Linked DNA regions of Daphnia pulex. The protein of the gene in region 2 purifies or fractionates together with the protein of the main gene of each other region. This does not show direct contact. Links are inferred from orthologs where the notes say so. Each region holds a gene or a part of one and is shown on either strand. Other genes may lie near its edges.

The links.
Region 1: the proteins of transcriptional adapter 3-B-like (region 2) and DNA polymerase epsilon subunit 3-like purify together in Drosophila melanogaster (affinity purification with mass spectrometry; 3 studies listed by BioGRID). This does not show direct contact. The link is inferred for Daphnia pulex from reciprocal best matches to the Drosophila melanogaster genes Ada3 and Chrac-14.
Region 3: the proteins of transcriptional adapter 3-B-like (region 2) and molybdopterin synthase catalytic subunit-like purify together in Drosophila melanogaster (affinity purification with mass spectrometry; 3 studies listed by BioGRID). This does not show direct contact. The link is inferred for Daphnia pulex from reciprocal best matches to the Drosophila melanogaster genes Ada3 and Mocs2B.
Region 4: the proteins of transcriptional adapter 3-B-like (region 2) and transcription initiation protein SPT3 homolog purify together in Drosophila melanogaster (affinity purification with western blotting; 3 studies listed by BioGRID, with this or other methods). This does not show direct contact. The link is inferred for Daphnia pulex from reciprocal best matches to the Drosophila melanogaster genes Ada3 and Spt3.

The regions. Positions count from the first base shown.
Region 1 is NC_060025.1:6,579,747-6,582,612, forward strand, and holds DNA polymerase epsilon subunit 3-like, read right to left. Parts: upstream 1,574-2,866; 5' UTR 1,426-1,573; intron 1,225-1,425; exon of another isoform or gene 1,202-1,224; 5' UTR 1,191-1,201; coding exon 1,005-1,190; intron 934-1,004; coding exon 849-933; intron 791-848; coding exon 594-790; 3' UTR 517-593; downstream 1-516. Other genes in the region: E3 ubiquitin-protein ligase LRSAM1-like, read left to right, coding at 1-171, 241-360. UniProt on the Drosophila melanogaster protein: Accessory component of the DNA polymerase epsilon complex. Participates in DNA repair and in chromosomal DNA replication. Histone-like protein which promotes nucleosome sliding of ATP-dependent nucleosome remodeling complexes.
Region 2 is NC_060019.1:11,487,506-11,491,563, forward strand, and holds transcriptional adapter 3-B-like, read right to left. Parts: upstream 2,682-4,058; 5' UTR 2,530-2,681; coding exon 2,349-2,529; intron 2,274-2,348; coding exon 2,137-2,273; intron 2,064-2,136; coding exon 1,932-2,063; intron 1,869-1,931; coding exon 1,725-1,868; intron 1,648-1,724; coding exon 1,433-1,647; intron 1,368-1,432; coding exon 1,243-1,367; intron 1,177-1,242; coding exon 1,046-1,176; intron 989-1,045; coding exon 830-988; intron 760-829; coding exon 616-759; 3' UTR 526-615; downstream 1-525. Other genes in the region: protein OPI10 homolog, read left to right, coding at 1-436.
Region 3 is NC_060026.1:10,881,519-10,885,865, forward strand, and holds the start of molybdopterin synthase catalytic subunit-like, read right to left. Parts: upstream 2,844-4,347; 5' UTR 2,118-2,843; coding exon 1,989-2,117; intron 1,926-1,988; coding exon 1,813-1,925; intron 1,713-1,812; coding exon 1,525-1,712; intron 703-1,524; coding exon 608-702; intron 537-607; coding exon 371-536; intron 314-370; coding exon 1-313. Other genes in the region: pecanex-like protein 1, read right to left, coding at 3,831-4,034, 4,097-4,237, 4,304-4,347. UniProt on the Drosophila melanogaster protein: Catalytic subunit of the molybdopterin synthase complex, a complex that catalyzes the conversion of precursor Z into molybdopterin.
Region 4 is NC_060027.1:750,302-753,641, forward strand, and holds transcription initiation protein SPT3 homolog, read right to left. Parts: upstream 2,117-3,340; 5' UTR 1,953-2,116; coding exon 1,898-1,952; intron 1,833-1,897; coding exon 1,655-1,832; intron 1,587-1,654; coding exon 1,280-1,586; intron 1,218-1,279; coding exon 960-1,217; intron 921-959; exon of another isoform or gene 891-920; coding exon 744-890; 3' UTR 743-743; coding exon of another isoform or gene 623-742; 3' UTR 562-622; downstream 1-561. Other genes in the region: DALR anticodon-binding domain-containing protein 3-like, read left to right, coding at 30-196, 266-561, 623-742; HEAT repeat-containing protein 6-like, read left to right, coding at 2,392-2,577, 2,633-2,881, 2,952-3,188, 3,253-3,337. UniProt on the Drosophila melanogaster protein: Component of the transcription regulatory complex SAGA, a multiprotein complex that activates transcription by remodeling chromatin and mediating histone acetylation and deubiquitination. The SAGA complex predominantly acetylates histone H3.

The DNA.
Region 1 (2,866 bases), on a different chromosome or scaffold from region 2:
TGGCTTGTCCAGTATCAGCGTCTAATCGATAACATGCCTGATAATATTCAACATGCACAACAGTATCTTCCAAGTGCGCCTTCCTCTGTACTCGATGATGAGGAGGTGGCATCCGCTCCTCCGATGGAAGTTTTTATGGAAACTAATTGCGTCATATGCTTGGACAGTTCAGTAAGCTTACATTTATTACAGTTCAATTTTTCAAAACGAATTCATTCTAATTGCATTTATATTAAACAGTGCCAAGTTATATTCCTTTCTTGTGGACACTTATGTTGTTGTTCTGGATGTGGCAACAAGCTAAATCAATGCCCAATGTGCCGGGCAACCATCGTTAAACGACTGCAGGTTCACTCATAATGTTATTTATTTGCTTTTTAGCTTTTCATCGGTCATATCTTTGTGCCTTTGGCATCCTAAAAAAAATGTTTTCTTCATTTTTATCTTGTCTGTTGCTACTGTCGTTTCGAGACGTAAATCACACTTTAATTTTCACAGTATACAAACTATTTGAGGTCGTGTTTTTTTTTCTTTTATTAATTTTTTTGTCGTGCGAATACAAATTTTATCACACATTTTTTTGTCATTTAAGATCATTCATCCACTTCTTCATCCTCATTCTCCTTTTCATTTTCATTATCATTTTCATTGTCATTTTCATTATCATTTCCATTATCATTTTCTCCACCTTCATCTGATCCTTCTTCAATATCTTCCGGTTTTTTGTCGGATTTTTCCTGTTTCCGTTTAGCCATAGCTTCTTTGCGTTCCTTCTGTGCTTTCTTGTACACTGTAAAAGAAAAGAACATGTTGACATTCTAAAAATTGTTTTGAAAAAGAGAAATTACCTTCAAGAGAAGCCTGTAGTGGTTCAATAAATCTTTCAAATTCCATGTCAGCCATTGCTCCCAGGACATCCGGGCCACTGATGATCTTTATTTAACAAAAAAATTTTAGTAAATAATTGAGAGAATGGAACAAAATTTTCTGATTCTGTGATTCACCTTTCTGTTAGCTTTCATAGCCAGATTGTTAGAGCATGATGTGCAATAGAGAACAAATACAGAAGCAGCTTTAGCAATGGCGGTTCTAGCCTCTTTAGACACATTAACACCTTCTGGCAAGGATTCTTTTATGATTCTTGCTACTATTGAGTTGGGAAGGTTTAAGTCTTCAGGTCGTTCTGCCATTGCTTACGTACCTGGGAAAATCAAAACAAAATTCCTGTCATCAGCTAGATACATTAGTTGAACAAAACATATATTTCATCATATGAATTCTATTCAAATCAATAAAGAGAGAAAATGTCACTTATTATTTCAAATAATAACACCATTTAGTCATTTCCAAGAGATTTCTAGAAACTTTTTAAAAAATTAACTACACTTGTTACAAGATTTTCATAGGAAAAAGAAAACATCCTACCTGTCAAAACTTCTCCTACAATAATTTATTTCCGATTATACCGAAACCAACACTCCGACACTTGAAAACTTCAGATTTTTGCTGAAACAAATACACAGTCACAGTTGATGATTTCGATGTTGCTTCTGCTACAATAAAGGGCGGGAAAATAAGAAGTGCCAAGACCACATCGCCATCTGTGAGTAATATTCTAACCGTTTGCACAAATAAGTTTTTCGCCCCCGTTAGACCAGCAGTCGCGAGTCGCATAATAAAGAGGCGTATGATAAAGATAAATAATAATTTTTTTTATGTAGCACGAAGAAGATAAGCAGATCTTAATATATGAACAGACAAGATATAGGTTAAATATCAAACTAGTGAAATATCAATTTTATTACACCAATATTTAGTATTTACAGTACATTGTTGCTTCAGCAGCTTAGATTGGTTATTCTAACTTGAACCGATTTTGTTTTACTAGTATTATTTATTGTATCTTGAACAACACTTGGATGTTAAAACAAATCGACATGAAAATTTTAACAATCGTGATCACTTCTGTTCTTATTAGATTCAATAACGATTTTGACGGAATGGATGGAGATCACCAAATATGACGTACGCAAAAGACGGCAAAAGATCGTTAGACTTGTCGTTAGATAGTGTCAAGAGCGGCATGTGTAATAGGATAACAAACTTTCCTCCTTTTCGCCAAGCCACTCTACATCTCCGAGTCAAAGGGACCCAAACTTCCTTTAGCAGCCAAAAGTTAGATTTCCATCGATGCTAATCTTACAAGGGAATGACTGTTGTGTGTACCTGAAAACTTTTGAATGGATAATCGCTTGCTATACACCCGTATATAGCCTATAGGGAATAATAGATTGCCAAACGCCGAAATTACGAGAAGTTAGATTATTGATTTGCGACTCTAACTTTCACTTATAAAATTCGTTTCTCGGAAACCTCCTACCATCCCCAGTCGCCTACAAATCAGGTCATGGAATTCAAGACAAGTTTGATCCAAAGATATATTTTCAAATCCTACACAAAGTGTGAGAGTCGGGAATCAGAGAAAAGGCAGGATATGCCCCGGGATACTACTCATCCACTCCGACTCCAGGCAACGGATACAAAACTGATATACGCTGTGTCGCTGTCTACCATTGGCCCCTTCAGACCTACATCCGCCCACATCGGAAACTGTAAATCAGACGTGGATGGAAAAACAAAAAGTTGAAGAAATAAGTCTGACGCTCTTTTGAATGAGACGGATAAATGAACAAGTTTTGCTTACTCCCAAGTTTCTCTATAAATAAATAACAACAATTTAAGAAACAAATCTCTACTAAAATAATGGTTCATCTTTTTTTTTAAATAGACTAGGTAATCAAACTGTCTTTAATCATCGTTAATTTCATATATAATTTTTCCGATCTCAAAATTTTTCAAAGACATC
Region 2 (4,058 bases):
CAGGTGGCCCGAGCCAGATCTATCAGCCCCACCAGTGTGGCAACTACTAGGTAACCTCACCAATAACAAACCGTCAAGCATTTACAAAATCACTGGCTTGAAGAAGAATCCGGGAAGTTATAGCCCTAGTATGTTTGGGGTGCACCAGGGGGAAATACATCATCATGCTCAAATAGGGATTTCAATTGAGCCTCTTAGCCTCATTTCCAATCAATCTCCTAGTGCCATTACAGAGCCTAGTAGCACCACAACATTCCAGGAGTTTGCTGAACGTACTCTTCAAAATCTTTTCAATTATGCAGCAAGTTTTGCTGTTACTCAATCACAAATGACACCAAATCCATCAGAAAGTTTCATCCCAATGTCTGTTTTAAGAAACTGGTACACTAACTTTATTAGAAAACTAGAATTGAATCCTCAGTTTTGGAGAAGTTGAAAGAATTCTTATTAAATTCTTATCAACTTCAAGTAACCTCAACTTTTCATTGTTGAATACATGCTAATTGATTTAAGTAATAAACAAGGCTTGTTAAAAGTTTATATTGTTATGCAAAGTTCAATTAACCATCTTAGTTCATCTTCATCACACACGTCTTGTATTGTTTGAAAAAATATTTACATACTAGTCGTTCCCGTGTCCAGCTGTTTGACAATCGCTTCACGATCACGAAGTATTTTCCACATCTGATCTTTTTCTTTTTTGCTTAACGGGCGTTTTTTTTGTTTAGCGGCAGCCATTTTACGATATACGTCTAATACCTATTCAAAAGAAGTTGGGAATAATGTAGACGAGCTCGATAAGCAGAGATGACACTTGAAAAATGAATACCTCAGCGTCCGCTGCAATCAATTTTTTCCGTATTTCCTGACGTTTCATTTCTTCTTGACTGAGGCGGTACAGTCGTTTCAGTTGTTTCAAGTTGTGCAGTGATATGGCCCTCAATTCTCCTTGGCATCGACGTAACTCCGTCAATATTTCATCATCGGCCTTAATCAGGGGGTTAATAATACTACCTCTGAAATGTGTTTTGAATGAATAAATTACCGAATTAACGTTGGCTTCTTCGGAAGTTAAAATGCCTTGTTCTTCTAACTCTTGACGAATACGACGTTCAAGTGCAGCAGCTTGAGGTCCATTCATTGCTGCCTTCGTGCCAGTAGATTTCGCGTTTTCGTCTGTTACAGTAATTTCGAACCGCTAGTTGGCATTAGTTTTAAACAGGAAAACAATGAACAATATACCTTGCCCTTCTGATTCCATTGTGTCCTGCACAGAAGTTACAATATTTTCTTCTAAAAGAGCTGAAATGAGACGCTGGGTCATGGGTCCGCACATCCCCGTCGCAGATGTAGTATTTGTTTCAGCACTGAGTTATTAAATCTATCGTTAAGCAATATGCGGCTATTAGAAAAAAAAATATTAATTTTTTACTTGTTTTTAGCTGCTGTGTCCATTAATCTTTGAGCCTCTTCCGTTCCTACAGAAGATCCAGAGGTAATCTTCTTTTTCTCGCCGAAACGAGAGCCCTCTCTTTGCTCCTGAAGTAAATCATCTTCTGCCCACCGAAGTGTATAGTGGCGACCGAGAGGAGGAATTTTGAGGTATTCTTCATCCTCATTATGAGTTGAGATTAGTTCTTCTACTAGCTTTAGTTAAAACATCAATTACCACAAGAAAAAAAATTTAATTCCAAGTTATGTTAATCTTATACAAATCATTTTACCTTTAAATCATCATCTGTAAAAAGAGCACAGTATGGTTCTACAGAAGCCCAAAATTTGTTTGGTGTATCATTTTTGGCAGTTGATGTCTTCATTAATTCTAAAGGAGGCATTTCCTCAACAACTCCTTCTGGTGGGATAGGCTTCTATAAAATCAAAGAGATCATTACTTGACTGTAAATAAAACTACTTTTCATGAAACTAGGTACAGCTAGAGCAGATTTAATTTTCATCTGCTTTAAAAGTGGAGGTGTGTGTGCATCTCTAAGCTTTCCTGGTTGATCTTTGAACTTTTTAGGTGAACGCTCTTCTTGTTTTGATCGTTTTCCAGGAGATGGAGGCTAAAAAAAAACACATAGTGTTGTTGGCAAACAGAAAATAGACACAAGATGAAAAAAAAACTTTGATGAATACCTTTTCAGTCATTCCTGCAATTTCTCTCTGTAAATTTAAGGAACGCAAAACAACACAATTGAGTAGTGTTTCTAGTTCCATTTGTAAGGTGTCCAAATCATCCATCATAACACCCCCTTCTTCTGATCTAGCCGTAACTATAAACAATTGATTATATTTATATCTTTGTTAATTAGAAAACCAACAGAAAAACAAAAAAAATTAGTTCTTACTGGATGTGAAACGAGGTAAAACCTTTCCATAGTCGACAGCTCGGACATCAGCTAGAGTAACTTCTTCATCTGAGTCCTCAGGTTCTGAAACTCTTTCCCTTTTGACTTTAGTGGCTGACGTTGAACCTTTGACATTTGTAGCTCCTTTTCCTTTGGAGATATTACCTTTACCCGGAACCATTTTTCGGCCCAAATTTTAAATTTGACAAGACAATTCACGTACGAATGTACGATTTACGTTGTTTACTTGTCAAAAAAGCTTGGACTAGAATCGATACCTAACTTTCAAACTTTCGATTCGATATTTCGATTTACAACGTAAGAGAGAAAATGAGACTGGGTATTCGTCAAACGATAGCAGCGCCTCCTTGAATGGTTTAATGAAAACTTTGGATAACTTAAACCGTTTAAGTCGAAAGAGAAAAGACAATCAAAGTCTAATATATTTTTTTAAATTACTTGTTAAAAATATTTGAACGCAGTTTTCGAAATAATAAAATCAGGGAAATTGCAACTCAAAGTTTTAGACTTGATTTTCAAATTTTTCAAATTTTCATGTATTTCTTTAATGAATGCAGAATGCTTAATATAAATTTGTATGATATTTTATCGATTTCATTTAACTACAAATTCCATAGGCCAATGTATTTATTTAATTTAGTTGGTGTTTCACTATATTATTATGTGGCCGTTATGTCTGAAACAGCGCTAGTTTCAGGGCTGTAAAATTCCCTCGTCTGCGGGTCTCCAGTCTTCTTTTCTCTGGTGTTTTCAGTTTATTCCAATATGGCTACCGAGTGAAAAGGCAACGAGTTTTTGTGACACTAACATTATCTACGTTTCATGACAGTTTATTGTCTGTTTGAAATTAAAGTTTGAATCTGCGGCCTATCAGAGAGGAATTCCAGACCGAACTTCGTGAAGTGCAATTTATTTTTTCTACAAATAGCTGTGGAAACCTTGTTTTTCTTCATATTGTGATATGTGTGGGCTACACCATCTGTGTCACTTGCTTTGAAGAACCCAAAGGGGGGTCGAGTGCGTGTGGGGACATCCTTCGTTTTCAATAATTATTGAAGAATCCTGAGTTTCCTTGAAACAGCCATTTTTCAGTGACATTTTAGACACAATTTTCCAGTTCGCTCCTACTGCTTTGTGTGTACTGCAGCTATCCGTTCATTTCAAGGTAAGGAGACCGCTGTGTTGCACAATCATAAAAGTTCTGGATGGTGAAACATGACACCTTCATAATCAAAGCATGTTCTCAAAATTCCTCTCTTCGTTTCATAATTAGCACAGGTTTTTTTATACCATCCTGCCTAGTAAACCTTGAGTAATCTTGTGTGACATGCAGCAGTCTGACCCTAATTTATCCAAACAGTAGCATTCGTATGAGAGGCAGATATCAGGTGGTAAAATTTGATAGTGAGTTCATTTGGAAGTGAATTGTTTCTTTTTGCGACGATTGCAAATGGGTGGGGGGTTGCACAGCTGTACATGCGTTGGCGGGGTTGAAATAGGGCATGGGGGAATCTGTAGCTCAGGTATTGATCACGTCAGGAGGGAGGAAAAAGAGGAAGGGAAGGAGGAGTGGGGGTTGAATCCGACGACGGCACTTGGACTTGTGCGCAGCGTCCAAACACACATACTTTCTTGATCCATTCCCATCCCTGATCTCCGTCGCCTTTCTCTTCCACCCGATGAATCCAT
Region 3 (4,347 bases), on a different chromosome or scaffold from region 2:
CGTAATTCATCCATTTTTTGTTCAATTTTTGATATCAAATCTTCATCTTCTTTATTATTCTGAAGATTAAACGGTCCGTCGAAATATTCAGGACTAATGCTTTCCAAATGAAGGATTCTATCTTCAAGGGCTTTCAAGCGTCCGTACACATCCAGTGGAATAGGTTGTTCTCTTGAATTAAAACCCAAGTGTTTTTCCATATTTTGTAGCCGTTCTTGGATAGCAGGAGTCGGATTCAATTTGGTGTTTACTGAAGATGGAGCCGGAACTTCAGAGTGTGTTTGTGGTCCCCACATATTTACGCATCTCGACACTAAAACGTAAAGAAATCAGTAATCAGCGTTGAATCCTTAAAATAAAATAATTTTACCCTTTAGATGACTTTTACTATCTTTTCTGCTTACAAGCACTGCCTCTGTGCGAGCACATGAATTCTCTAATTCGTTTAATGGTAGTCTGTGACAGAACTCCTGAACGTTGAATACGTCCGACTCTGATCGTTTCCGTTCCATAAACGCAGTAATTCGTTTTCCCAACTGAAAAATTAAAAACATTTAAAATATTTATTGAGAAAAGACTTGATAAAAGTAAAACGGATCAACAATACCTCTAAATTTGAAGCCTTGATCTGAACGCAATCGGCAGCTGCATAGTCCACCATTATTTTCCTCTTTTTAGATAGACTAGCGTCTTCTTCTTGATCTATATCAATTCAAAACATGCTATTGACTATTAAGCATCTATCACATCAAGCAAATATTCCAACAACTCATTCTCATGGAAATAAAAAATTTCAAATCCCGAATTTCCCCACCTAACAAGATTAGAATATTTTCGTACTTATTTTTTTTAATTTTGACTAATAAAAACTTCTGAACGCTTGTGCTTTCTTTAAGCCATACTTCTATAAGCCAAATAATCAAATGACGTACGCGGCAGTGAAGGGAACAAATGCAGAAGTCACAACTAAATACTAAATAAAGGACGTCTATGTGTGGTTGTCCCTATTCCGTCAGATAATTAGCTTAAAGCTTATAGGCAGCAAAGCTGTCGAACCACACGAAAACGTCTAATAGATTGAAGCAGTGCGTAGAATGCAGCATTGCAGCTACTCATCTTTAGAATCACACAGTATATGTTATTATATAATGAAAGGGCAAAGATTGGAAAGCGTTGGGAACTGGAAAGTACTTGGATAATAAGTAAAATGAATGTTAACATTGCTTAGTTAAAAAATAAAAAGAGAATTAAAAACCCTTAAAAACCTTATATTTTAAATGTCAGACTTGACAGCACTACGTAGATATTATCACTTTAGTAAGATTGAAACTACAGCCAAACTAACGTTCATGCTCCGATTTTTAACTAATGAAAAGTACTGGAAACCATTTCAAATATTGTTCTGATATCGGAAAATCGATTAAGGTTCAATATTTGTGTTACTTGTTAAGAATCAGTACTGTTATGAATTCAAAATTCATACAACAAATAGGAACAACTAAGCATTATTTGTTTAATTTTTACTTGTCCACAGGCATTCTTTGTTGGCTTTCCATTCAGGAGCACCATCACTATAAAGTTCTTTCTTCCAAATTGGTACAGACTTCTTAAGCGCGTCAATCCCAAATTGAACAGCCTCTAAAGATTCGGCTCGATGCTCGGATGAAACAGCTATTACAACACTTGCTTCACCAACCGGAACTTCTCCCAATCTGGAAAGAAAAATAGGTAATTAAAACAAACAAACAAACAAAAAAATGTTTCTTAAGTTTCCTCATTATAACTACAGTATGGTAAAAAAAAAAATTATACCTATGGTGGAATGCAATGTGTTTAACCTTCCATTTTTCTCTAATATTCTCACAAATTTTCTTGATTTCTTTACATGCCATTGGCTTGAAAGCTTCATACTCTAGACTAATCACCTTAAATATAAAGCAAATTTGATTTAGAAATATTTGACTTTAGATTATTCAAATTGACATTACTTTCTTTCCTTCAAAATTATTCCTTGTTGTTCCCACAAATAATGACACAGCTCCAGTAGAATGTTCAACCACTTTAGAGTAGATTGAATTCACATCAAGCTGTTCTTCAACTAAGTTAATAATATCCATTTTAAAATACAATTGAAGGGCTCTGGCGAATTAAGCTGTAGCACACTGCTTATGAAGAATCCTAGCGACCTAGCCACCACTTAATGGTGGGATCACTGCAATTTCCTTGCAATTTTTAATGTCTATAAGCTGATCAAATTCAACATATTCTTCATCAGCAGCTAGGACAATGTTCTTTGATATGGATTCTAGAGCTGGAAATTGTTCTGTAATGATGCACAAAAGATTTGCCCCAGTGATTCTTGAAGTTGTTCTGGAAAGTGAAATATTGTCAAAATCTTTTCCAACTAACTCTCTGGCCTTTGCAAAGAACAGAATCCGAATAACTACTTCATCCATTGATCAAGGTCAAGACTACAGCATCCCTGACTATAATTTTAACCAGATTTGTTGACATGTAACAATCAATAAAAAAATATATGTTAATTAGTTGTCACCGCAAAAGTAAATTTAACTTTGAGTAGTAATCTTGATTAGCAATACGCTCTTCTTATGCGTTGACTATGTGTCTGTAAAACTGTGACAGAGGCTCGGCAATCAGAAAAGCGTCTGGTCACTGGTCGTCTGCTGGCACTGGCAAGTGGGAAGTGGCAATGACATAAAGAGACTAAAGCGTATTTTTTAAAAATTCAAAAATTGTAATATGCGCGGAGTTTTTCTTGCGCGCAAAATATATACATTAATTTTATGCCCCCTTATCTGCAAGAAGCCAACAACGATGCAAATATTCTATGCAACTTTATGTGTATTGTGTATAGATGTTATACCCTTGAAAAAGTAGTGGTCTAGCAAAAAATCGTGCGCAGTTTACGCCGATGCGCACCACAGCGGCAGATAGCAGAACTAAACTTTTTATTACGCTTGACTACCTGTCTACTTCAAGAAACGAGACGAGAACCGACTGCTTGTCGAACAAAGGACTTGAAGTAGACAGGTAGTCAAGCGTAAAAAAAAGTTTAGTTCTGCTATCTGCCGCTGTGGTGCGCATCGGCGTAAACTGCGCACGATTTTTTTCTAGACTACTACTTTTTCAAGGGTATAACATCTATATCGTATCAGAGCGATCGTATTCGTTCACCGATTCTTTCATAATCAACAATTTCATAATATTCAAATTTCAAACTATGTGCATACCGGCATACTATTGTCAGGGGTATGGAGAGATTTATGGAGATATCTTTCTCTCCATACCCCTGCTATTGTTATTTAAAAATCCGACAAGTTTTTCTATCAGACACCAAATAAAATGACAGGCGCATTCTTATGCTACTGGAGTCACTCCTCTATGCGACTGTTAAGTGTTTACTTTCTCACCATCACTCCTTGTGTCACTACTAACACGGGAATTTTCGTGATTTTAATAATTAACAGTAACTATGAGGCGGGTGCGGTAGTTGAATAAGGAAAAATCTAAATATATAGTTCCTAGACTACAAACAATCCAAAAGTTTATTTGTTTCGAATTACTCAATTTCAAATTTCATTCGACATTTGAAAAACTCGGTAAACGTTATTGACAATGTTTTCAAATCACAGTGGTTTTTCCTAGTCAATGTCAAATAACACATAGCATTTCCGCATAACACAAACATTATTTACAAAACAAGGTTCGTGAACAAATTTCGGGGTTCACATTCAAACCAAAATACCGTTTCATATTACAACGATGAGCCTAATGGACTCGAAAAAAAAACACTGCGGCGTTTGGGAATTTCAATCAGCAACTCCCTGGGTTTTAAGCTTAGTATCATTAACGACGATAGAATCCCCGATGTTGACACTAACCAATGATGCAATTTCGACCGCCGATTCGGCGATTGGGACGTATTTATCGTCTATTTTCAAGAGAAGGATGACGCGATCCACGTGCGATCTTTGTCGCGAATCTGGATGATTAGGCACCCAACGATGTACCACCTAATCAAACACAAAGTACAGTAAAAGGAAAACTATTCACCCATCGCGTATAGTTTTCTTACCTGTCCTTCCATACCCACTTCGGGAAGCCATGATTTCCAATAAGATTTTCCACCTTGGTTACGAATTGTTGGACTTGGCCAGAGAACATCAATTCGTCGGCCCAGATTAATGGTATCGTAGACTTGATTGGGATCGACAATCTGAGTAGAGAAAAAATAAGTAAATTAATTTACAAATATACAATTTAGAAGAGCTTTAAAAAGTACCTTGACTCGTTGGTCGACAGAAATCCTGTTGTCCATAAACGGCT
Region 4 (3,340 bases), on a different chromosome or scaffold from region 2:
AACTATGTAGGTGTTTTTTGTGTTTGAAGGCTACGACAGTTGCATGTTAAATCCAGGCATCCAACGGAAGGTAAAAGTATGTCTGAAGCATGGATCACAGAGGCTGTTATCAGTTATGATTTCTTGCACAATGACACCACAAAACCAATGCATGCGGTAGGACTAGCTGGACTAGAAATTGATCCTCAATTCAGAGGTATTCAGTTTACCAAAATCATGGTTCCTTTTTAATAACTAATTATTGAATTTTTCATTTCTATTTTAGAAGCAATAAAGGTTTTGTACAACAGAAGTAGGGTTGCCTGTATACTTCAAAAATTTTCTGATGGAGTGGATTGCTCACTTTACCCTCCACTGCCAAGTTTGGATACGACCAATTTTAAGTTGCTGAAGCATAAAGCAGAAATTGAAATCACCTCCAAATATATTGCTGGATTTGTTCCTATGCTGAACAAATTTTCACTCACTCGCATCGCAAAGATAACTTCAGAGTTATGGCGATTTTTGCTATTTTTATCGCAGGATTATTCCCATTACTACAGTTCAGTTCGCACCCTATGTGTGAGTATTCTTTATTCAGGTTTCTTGCATACAATTTTACATTAAAGTTTCCTATTTTTAGGATGAACACAACCGATCGCATCCAACAATGCACGCACGAATTTGGATGTTGAAAGTGATATTAACAATTTACGACGCAGCTTTCGCCATATTGAATTTGAAGCCCTTGCAGTACGTTTAAATTACAGTGCCAGAAGTCGATGTCCAGGAGGAGGAACACCATTTCTTCGGAATGGAGAAAAAATTGAGTTGTGTGTATTGTTGAACCGTCTGATGGCCTCAGAGACTTCCGCTGTTTGAAGAGGTTTCATCGAATTTGACCATGTCGGCTAAAAATACGGAAATTTTGTTTTAAAGAATGATTATAATTATTGTAACATTCATTTTAATCCTTTTACCTTGAACAAATCAGCATTCGCTGGAGATACTCTTGGTGCAGTGTTACGTTGAACTGCGTCACTCACTTGCCCAGCCATATTGTCTCTTCGTACTATGAAGGCCAGATCTACTATTTGTGCGATGGTTTCGTAAGCAAAGTAACTGAGAATAGACCAAGCTGTCGCACTTAAAGCAACCTCAGGAGCTGGAGAATCTTTAAGTAACCAATCTTGAAATTTACCAGAAGGCTGGCCTCTCTTAAATGAGGTAGATTTGGCCTGACAAAAACAATTCTGTTAAATCTAGATTTTGAAAAAGCAGTTAGGTTGAATCAAAATACTTGAGAATATTCAATGTACTGCCCCTTCTCCATGGCTAATGTCATTCTCTCAATCCTTTCATTTCGTTCCTTGAGGGCATCATCAGGTAACAGGAAAGGTTTAGATGGATCTGCCACATTACACAGATAACATGATGGATCAAGGTGTTGTAGGAATGCAAGAGCAGAATTCAGTTTTTTATTTCCAGTGTGAAGATCAGAAAATTCAGTCATTATGTCTTTAGGCAAATCATCTTCTTTTGCCAAATCCTTAAACCCACTGGCTTGTAAATAGGTGCAAAATCTTCTCAGTTTAACTGGACTGTGCCTAATTTAACAGAAATCACTTCAATATATTGAATAACTTGAGATATTGTTAAACTGAAGGTTACCTACCTAAGTAAGACTAGAAATTCTTTGATACCAATTTTCTTTGAGTTAATTTTAACAGCAACCTCAGACAGTGCATTCAGGAACTGAATTAGTTGTTCCTTCACAATTTTCTCTACTAATTCAGCAGTTTCTTTCAGCGAATATTTGCTGTCGCCAAATCCATACATCATTTTTTGGATTTCTAAACATGTCGAATTAAATGTAGTTAGGAAATGTTGACATTGTTGGTCGTTAATATGAACTTACCCAAGATGTACCATCCATCGGTGGAAGAATTAGTGGATACATCAGCAGCTGGCATTTTTAGGAGATTGAGAATTTTGCTAATTTTTACAAAATATCAGTTGTGTTGGTATAATTCGTGTACCAAATAGTAATATCAACCGGTGTTTTCTAAAACTCCATTTGTTATTGTTTGAAGTCTGAACTGAACCCTAAAAGAAGGTATTGTGTGGTAGTCTGCTAGCCTAGCTAGACATATTTGAATTTGCCTCAATGCCAAAGCTAATTTTGAAACTATTTCAATTTTTTTCCCAAAATTTAGTAAGGAAAAAAAAATCTTTATTTTTTATGAACTTTTGAATGAACCACGCTTTCATTAATCTTAAACATTTTTCAATTAAGAAAAAAAAAAACCAAGCGGATGCCTTCGGTACTTCGTCGACACATAGCAGACGAAAATGTCGAAAAAATCAAGGACCTTCAATTTGTAAACAAAGTGTGACAATCGAGATAGAGTCATGGCTCTTTCTCAACTTAAATCATTAGACACAAATTATCTGACAGGGGTTCGAGAAAAGCTCAACCTATTGTTAGATAAGAAAAATGCAAATCCGGAAGAAATAACAAATTTCTTGGATAATCTGAACACCCTTTTCTTCGATCTTAAAAGGAAAGAATTGGAATCGTCGTCAGTCAATGTTCAAGTAAGATTCCATAAAAGTTATATTCATTTCACTGTTTAAAATCTTATGTTTATAGGATTCTGTAATTTTAGTATCAGATGTTTTAAAAATTGTGAAACATGAAGAATCTTTTAAAGTTGCCAAGACTTGTCAAATATGGGAACAAGTTTTACAACTTCCAAATGTACACTTAACAAGTCAAGCATCAGAGCAATTAATTGATTGGATTATAAAATCCCTTAAGAATGAAAATCATTTAATATTTACTGACATTTTCAATTGTCTTGCTGTGGCAGTCAACTTCAAAGAAGTTAAACAAACTAAAGTAGGTCTGAAACTGGGAATGAATGAAAAATTTTGAACAATAATGTTTCCCATTGAAATTACTAAATTAGGCTTTGGAGAAAGTGCTTAGTCCTTCTGGATTCTTGATCAATAAATTGAATGAAGAACAACAAATCAATAATCAAACAGTTCTCATTCTGAAAATTCTCTGCAATTTTACCAACTGTTCGGGAGAAAAGGATTGGTCTACAATATCAAAGGATGTAATTAACACATGTATCATCCAGTTCATAAAATTCCAAGAGCAACACCTAAATTCCGATCCAAACAATCTTAACCTTCTCAAGGTAAAACAGTGTTTCTTATAATGTCATGAAGAAATTTCTTAACCACATTCATTTATTTTACTAGGTTCTTAGTCTTTGTTTCTATGGATTAGAGAATACATTTGTTAGATTTACTGCTTCAACAGTGGCTCATTTGGAAAGTATCTTTAGTA